Arabidopsis thaliana: one gene and its partner. The protein of the gene in region 1 interacts with the protein of each later gene in a pairwise test. Each region holds a gene or a part of one and is shown on either strand. Other genes may lie near its edges.

Region 1 (3,932 bases):
CTAAACATCTTGCTTCATTTTGGGCTTTAACGGTCTGTATATCTACACTCTGCACATTCAAGAGAGCAGGAGTATTCATTCGTGGCTCCAAGTGTCTTCAAGATGATAGGAAAAATACAATGCATCTTACACCAGCTGCAAAATGGACGAGATATACTATTATTGAGCACCACCTCATATGAAGTGCCCTCAATTTTTATTGTGCTTCTTCGCATGAGACTTGAAAGGTCTCCAAGCACACACTTTGTATGCAAACTAGCCTGATGATCTTTACACGTATAGAACCATGTATGTGGATTTGTTTCTTTTTCACAAATGTCACACCAATATTTACCACTTGCCTTTTCGCCATAGCATAGTGAGAGAGGATGATCATGAACTCTATGCTTTACCATTTGTGGTAAAGTGGCGCATCCAAAGCATAATAAAAATCCACAATTATCTTCAATGCAACTAAGCACAAAGTCCTGCTCCATGTTGCAACCAGTGCACCATTGTACTTCGTCTGATGGAAAGTAATATAAGGGATGATTAGGATGACTTGGATGGATATGTGGCTCAGAAATTGAAATGCACCGAACATCGAATGCCTTATTCCCATGCTGGTACTTGAAACCATTGGACAATCTATCACAAGCATAACACCTAAAGCCTTCATCCTTGTTTGTAACCAACGTAAGACGTTCATTGTGTAGCACATGCCATTTCATTCTAAGAAATCCAGCGCAGTTTTGGTGGAGAATGAAGTTACAATCCATACAGCCGTAGAAAGACTGGAGACAGATGGGATGGGTGCATGCCTTGCACCGCTTGTTGTCATCACATAGAACACCATTAACGTTGAGTCTTAGGTAATGCTCTTTGTGACTAAAATGTTGTATTGTGTTTTCATCTATCACCACATATGGCTCTATATCTTCTGTTTCTTCGGGTAATCCTTCAAGTTCTTTCCCATTCCACACATCTTTTCTAGTAGCACATTTTGAATGAACAACATAGCCATGACACCTCTGACAAGAAAAACCTCCATAAGACCAGTCCACCTTTTTGCGACAAACTCCACATACAGAATTCACAACACCAAGAACAGAAGTTCGAGAAACACGGTGATCATGCCGGTTAATGTTGATGAGGCGTGGAAGGCCAAGACAGTCTTGATGGATCATGAAACCACATTGAAAACATACGTAAGGGCTACGATCTCCCTTCAGCCCGCAAGCATTGCATGTAAAAGAATCGAGTTTTGGGAGAAGGGTGAGTTGGTGATCATGAGCTTTCAAATTCAGAAGAGATTGTTGTGGTGGGCGCAAAACACAAACCTTGTCCAAGGTAAAGTTACACGGAGAACAATGGAAAAAAAATGTTTCATCAATCTTTCTTGCGCAAAGACGACATTTCCCATCAGAATAATCCGGTAACTGACCCTTTGCGTAGAGTTTAAGAGGGTGTAAAGAGTGGTAAGAATGGTTTACCTCTAAACGGAGTTCTAGTTCGGGCGGATACCATACGCAATCCACATGAAAGGATAAATCACATTCATGACAATTGTAAGGAAACTCATTACCAATAATCTTGCAACATTTAGCACATATACATTGCTTGATCCACTTCTTGAGAAGGGTAAGCCTGTGGTGATGCGTCTTGGAAATGTCAATAACCTCTGGTGGTGGATACTTTGAGCAGTATAAATCCATGTCGAAGTCACATAGATCACAACGATAGAATATTGGGCACATCCTTCCACACAAATTGCAGAAATTAGTAGGTCTTTCAGGTCTTAGCAGCTGAAGAGTGTGCTTGGGGTGAGATGGATGCTTGATATATTCGGAGGGCTCGTCAGCACAATTTTTTCGGACGAAAAAATCGCAGGTTTTGCAGTAGTATCCATCACTGATAGCTTCAAAGCGTCCACAGCAACCACAGCAAGGACCTCTTTTCAGATTTTTCCAAGGCATCATAAGATGCTCGTGGATCAACGGCATTAACACTCCCTTAGAATCCATGGTCGTTTACTAAGAGATTTTGAAGAAGAAGAAGTTGGATATGAAATCTCAAAGCTAAGTTTCTTTCACGTTTCTCTCTCTCTCTCAAAAGTCTTCTCTCTTTAATTTCAACGATGCTCTTATGAAAAAGAAGATTGGATCTGAAATCTCAAAGCTAAGCTCCTTTCTCTCTCAAAAGTCTTCTCTGCGTTAATCTCAAATCCTCAACGATGCCCTTACAAAATTATTTTTTTATTAGACTTTTGGTTTTATTGGTCTTTCATTAACAATAAAAAATAATTAGGCCCAAAACCCGCACCGTGCCGGTTTTTTCATGCATTTTGTTAGTTATAATAATTAATAATTTACATCAACTGAATTAATTTTATAAACAATCGTTTTGGTGTTTTTTTCTATGATTATCATTTTGATGTATCTTCTAACTCTCAAGTAAATGATTCATTCTATTTATTATGTTTATTTATTTATTTTTAGTTACAATGTTTAATATTTATTTACAATTACTTAACTTAGATATACAAAAAAATAAATTATTATCTTTAAAGTATTTTAAGGGTTTTGTGCAAAAACCACTATACCTCATCCATTTTTGCAACTTCAACCTCTACCTCCATCAAATACAGATTAATCATTAACAATATAAAATAATATGCATTATAACCCTCTTTTGCCTTTTTTTTTGTTACCAACAATTTTGTAAAATATCGATAATAATATGTTAAATTAAAACTTTCGCGAAGAAGAATTTAACTTTACCTTCAAAATTTTAAAAATCTAATGTATATAACCGTAAAAACGTTTACAATATATATATATATATAAAGATCATATTTTGTATTATTTTAGACTTCATAAAAATAATCTGCATTTATTGGAGGTAGAAAATAAAGTTGCAAAATGGATGAGTTAGCACAAAACCTTATTTAAAAGTAAACGGAAAAATAGTTTTACAATATCAATCATTAGTATTATTTTATTAAAATGAACCACTAGTTTAAAATAGTCAATTTTTAATTCTTTAGTCGTATCAATTAGCACTATTTATATAAAAAATGAAAATGAAAGAAATCTAAAAACATTGGATTCGGATCCATTTTTAAACTCTGAACTATTTTTTTATGAGCTGGATATCTCAATTATTTTTTAATTCACTAGATCTTGGAATTAATATTCATATTAACGTTTGAAACAGCTAGATCGTCAAAGTCAAAATTGCAACATTCATAGATAAATAATACATGAAGGAAATCAACTTATTATAATGGAAATGAACATGTAAAAGAAATGGTACAAGAAATCTAAAAGAAAAGCCCACTCTCTGGACATCTTGATTCATATGCATTACATAGCGCAATAACCAGTAGTTGGCATTATGTTCAATACAACGGCGTAAGTAAAGATCCTTCATTCCAAAGACAAGGCATAATTGTTTGAAACAGCTGATCATATCAAATTAAAATTGCAAGTTTCTTAGATCTAATTTCTTTTTTTTTTCTTTTCAAAAGAAAGACACAAATCTTGGCTTGCCTTAAAACGTGTGTACATGTTGATAAAACATTTTCATTTCGGTCTCTAGATTCTGCGAATAATAATGAATGGAGTCTGTGTTTGGTTTCATGTTGAATCAATCAAGATGTGTTTTTAACTGTAAATGAATTATGCAGAAAACATCTGTCCTGGTTCTCAGACATCGGAACTCTGTTCCTAATAAAAACTGAAGTCCCTGTTTTTATGTTAGTAATCTGAAACAACAATTGTTTGAAGACGCCATTGCCAAGATTTCTTGCAACAATGGTTTACTTTCTTACTATTTCTAATGATCCTGAAACAGACTATACAATACGTTGAGAAAGAAGCGAAAAGCTGACAATCATGATAATGCAAGACTGATAGTATTGTGTTGTTCATTTTCAAGGTGAAATTTTGTAG
Region 2 (3,932 bases), about 12 Mb from region 1:
TTGATGACTTGGTCTGTTGTGTTGAGGGAACCAGGCTGGTAATCATTGTACTCATTCGAGCCATCTCGCTCACCCTGAAACATATTTCAATCAAGGAAAATCATTTTAGATATTAGTCTGAGAGCGCATGGAGATCATAATGGCCTAAAAGAGACGATACCATACCTTTCCCATGTCACCAAATATTATGACCCGTTGTTTCGAGTCTTGTCCAGGATAAGGAGAGGACACAAAGGTGTAATTCTTGCTCCAAATTGTGGAACCATTGACCAAGTCATGGCCTAGCCTGTATATGTATCTGTAAACCAAAGGATTGAGAGTTACATGTATGAAACTATATTAGTGCTCCTGGATTAGACGATAAAGAAGCAAACTAAAGATTTCATACTCGCGGTTTGGCCAAAGTTCTTTCAAGAAAGAAGTATGGAAGAAACCAGGATCACGCCAACCAACGCCGCGAGCAGGATTACCTGTGTAAACATAGCATGCATCCACAAATCAAATCTCTAGAATGATCCAGATGAGTAGTTTCAGATATTCCAGGACTGCTGGCTCAGAGATCACAGCGAAACAGGACATACCACACATGCTGTTTCTGTTAAAGGTCAATGTTCCAGCTGGTGATCTTCTAGCTGGAAGTCCCTTTGCACTCCATTCAATGAAAGGAACAGCCTCATCTATGTTGTACCCACTAGTCCATGTCACGGTCATCTATCAAAGATAGAAAAATAAGCAAGTTTTAGCTAAAGATCCCAAATATTGTATAGCTGCTTCAGAAGTCTCAAGGCCATTGAGTGGAAAAACTTACTTCGTCCCAATTCTTCCCTAATGCAAGACGCGGATAGACAGGTGCTTTAGGATTGAAGAAAGCTACAGGATTCGAAACCCCGAGAAGGTGTGGCTGTGATATTCAAAAGATCAATAATTAAGTCCACTTGATATACAAAATACTAAACTGAGAAAAACTATAGTTATAACCTACCTCTTGAACTCCATTGGAAAACAGTGCAAAGGAGACATCAGCTCTCTGATTTATAATCTGGAACTTGAGAGTCACATTCCCGGACTTCATGTAATCTGGATGAGAATTACAATACATGTACTGCCAAATAGAAATTAAAAGGGGAATGTTACACCGGGACTTAAAAAAAAAAAAAAAATCACTGGTAAATATGTAATAAACCAAACCTTGATGGGAGAAGAGCATATGTAAGGAGTTTTCTCTTTGCCACCACTTGTTGGCCAACAGTTACCCGAACTAACAAACAACAAAGACAAGTTAATAATGCACAAATGGCACGTTCACAAGTTAACAAACACAGATGCAGATTAGAAAAAATACTCGAATTTTGCTGGAGAGAAAACTCCTATCCAATCATCTGAAGTGGGCTTGGGGTTGGAGATAGCAAGATTTACCCATTCTGTATCTTCACCCTGTAAGATCAAAGTCATGACATCAATAACATATCTATTTAAGTTTGGTTTTTGTGATAATTACGTGAAATCAAGAAAACATATTCAAGTCTATCATACAATTTTTTTGACATTTAAAAAAACCATCTCTTAAGAGTTAATATATATCTGTCAAACAAGAATCTGACAAGAACAATAATATGATGAAAGAATTTGTTATTGGAACCTGGGAACCAAGAACTTGAGGCGAAGCGTGAAGTTTGACAGAACTATCTAAAGCAAGACTTGTTTCGTAAACATTAATTTGAGCAAGTGCTTGATCTCCACGACCATTGGCATGATCCAAACATAAGCTCGAGCTGAACAGTGCGAGTAAACACAGAAGCACACCTAAAACTCTAGCCATATTTTTTTTTGTTTTTCCTTTGTTGTGACTGAGAAACAAAACCAGAAAGGTATATATATATATATTATAATCAGGATATATCTAGGAATCCCAAAATTGATTCATGTCTATCGAATTAAACAAAATCAAATATTTTCTTTCACCGTCAAATCTTTAGTCAGGAATATTCTAACAGTTTCTTTTTAATATTCTAACAGTTTTTTCTTAATGATAGTTCATACTGTTTTAAAAACAAATAATGATAACGGAAAAAACGGATTTTCGTTTTATTCAGACTTATGTACATTAGGCTGATCCGGGTCGGACCGGCTTTGAACCGGAAATTAATAAAGCTTGATTGTTAAATTTGGCAACCGTGGCTTCGGTTTCAATCGCGCTGTAATCGCATCACTAATTCGGGTCACTTTGGAAAGAAAGAAGAAGAAGATGAAGAAACCATCGAAAAAGAGCGAAATCGAGTTCTGCACGGTGTGCCGGTTTCATCACGACCAAGGCTCGCGCCACAAGTACTTCCCTCGCCACAAAAGTTCCCTCTCTTCCTTACTCGATCGATTCAGATCGAAGATAGCTGACGTCAGATTCTTCCTGAAGAACCCTAGCGTTCTACGGCCACAAGAGCAGTCGCAAAACCGTGTTTGGTGTGTCTTCTGCGATGAGGACATTGTTGAGCTCGGTAGCTCCTTCGCCTGGTATGCCATTCCGTTTTCTCTTTCCTCTCGATTTGTGACTGTTTGTTTGATTTGGGTTCATTGTTGTGCGAACATTAGTAGCTGTGTTACTTTATTTGAATGTAGAATCAGAGTGCGCAAGAGTTGATTGAAACTGTGCTAGAAAACTGGGATTGTATCTAAACTGATGCGTCTTCTGATGATAATTGATTTATTTGACTGCACATAATACTTTGTTTGGAAACTTTGTATCAGTTCTAAGGCTATCAATCACTTCGCAAGTTCCGATCATCTTAAGAATATCAAGCAATTTCTGTCGAAAAATGGCCCGGCAATGGATTGCATAGACGAGTTCCGAATTTCAGAAGCTGATGTAGCTAAGGTATGCACTATTTACTTGAATATTATGCTCTTCTGTTTTTACAGATCTCAATTGCAACCTTTGCGGTTTAAGAGTGTAGCCATGTTATTCGTTGAAATCTCTAATGAAATTCTATTCATGCTGGATGCAGTGGGAGAAAAAATGTCAGTCATTTGGAAATGAAGATGCATCTTTTGAAGGGTCCTGTGGACAGCTGTCTGGGACATCTAATGATATCCACACTAAACTTGCGTTTGAAACTATGGATAGAATTAAAAAAGTTCCTGCACACCATATAAATTCATATAAATCAAATGATGTTATGCCTTTACAGTATAATACGAATGAGTATCAGATATCACTTTCAGAGATTCCTGGAGTTATACATAATGGTTCATATCTGAACATGGATGATTCCCAATTCCCTCTATGTGATGAATCAGGTATTTTTGGTTGATTCCGACCTCCACAATTTGTCAGTTTCCAAGTGTTTACAAGTTGTGTATAATAGTCTCTAACTCTCTATAATTATATTTTCTAGGGAACGGGTTTGGCGAACATTCCATTCCTTGTAGAAGCAAGGACTACTCGGGCAACGGTAATTATTGCACCCAAGAGGTGGGTTTCAGTCATAGTAACATTGATATTCTGATAATCTGGTTATGGTGCATCTATATGACGCTTCCTGTTAGTTTCATCATGAGGATTCTTTGGCTCAGAATTTTGGTTATAGGCTAGTTTTTCTAAAGTTTATGGTCTTAAGTATTCCTTGGTTCAGGAATTTCTTATGTGTTATATGCGTAATTTGCACATCAAAAAAATTCTTCTATATATGAGAGGTTTTTTAGGCAGAATGAATTTTATTAAAGTTTGGGGTAAGAAATACTTTTGTGTGTTGTTTTTATCATCAAAGTTCCTTCACTGTTTGGCTATCTTTTTCCATGTGTTCAACTACATCATACCTCCAGAGCTATCTCATTGGCTAAGTCCAAACTTTTATAAAAGAGCCTGTGACTGACATTGTCTTCATCTAGAATTATCAGGTGAGCCAAGATAAGAAACAAATTGATGGCTCTTACAATCC

Evidence for each region.
Region 2: the proteins of AT4G01920 (region 1) and TTL interact in a two-hybrid assay, tested with the Arabidopsis thaliana proteins (one large-scale study listed by BioGRID).

Annotation. Positions count from the first base shown.
Region 1 is NC_003075.7:829,077-833,008, forward strand, and holds the start of AT4G01920 (Cysteine/Histidine-rich C1 domain family protein), read right to left. Parts: upstream 2,213-3,932; 5' UTR 2,004-2,212; coding exon 27-2,003; 3' UTR 1-26.
Region 2 is NC_003075.7:12,812,622-12,816,553, forward strand, and holds the start of TTL (coiled coil protein), read left to right. Parts: upstream 1-2,184; 5' UTR 2,185-2,245; coding exon 2,246-2,508; intron 2,509-2,742; coding exon 2,743-2,869; intron 2,870-2,999; coding exon 3,000-3,291; intron 3,292-3,389; coding exon 3,390-3,466; intron 3,467-3,882; coding exon 3,883-3,932. Other genes in the region: PAP24 (purple acid phosphatase 24), read right to left, coding at 1-74, 166-298, 389-470, 582-711, 809-901, 983-1,102, 1,189-1,258, 1,343-1,434 and 1 more. UniProt on the Arabidopsis thaliana protein: Key regulator for endosperm and embryo nuclear divisions.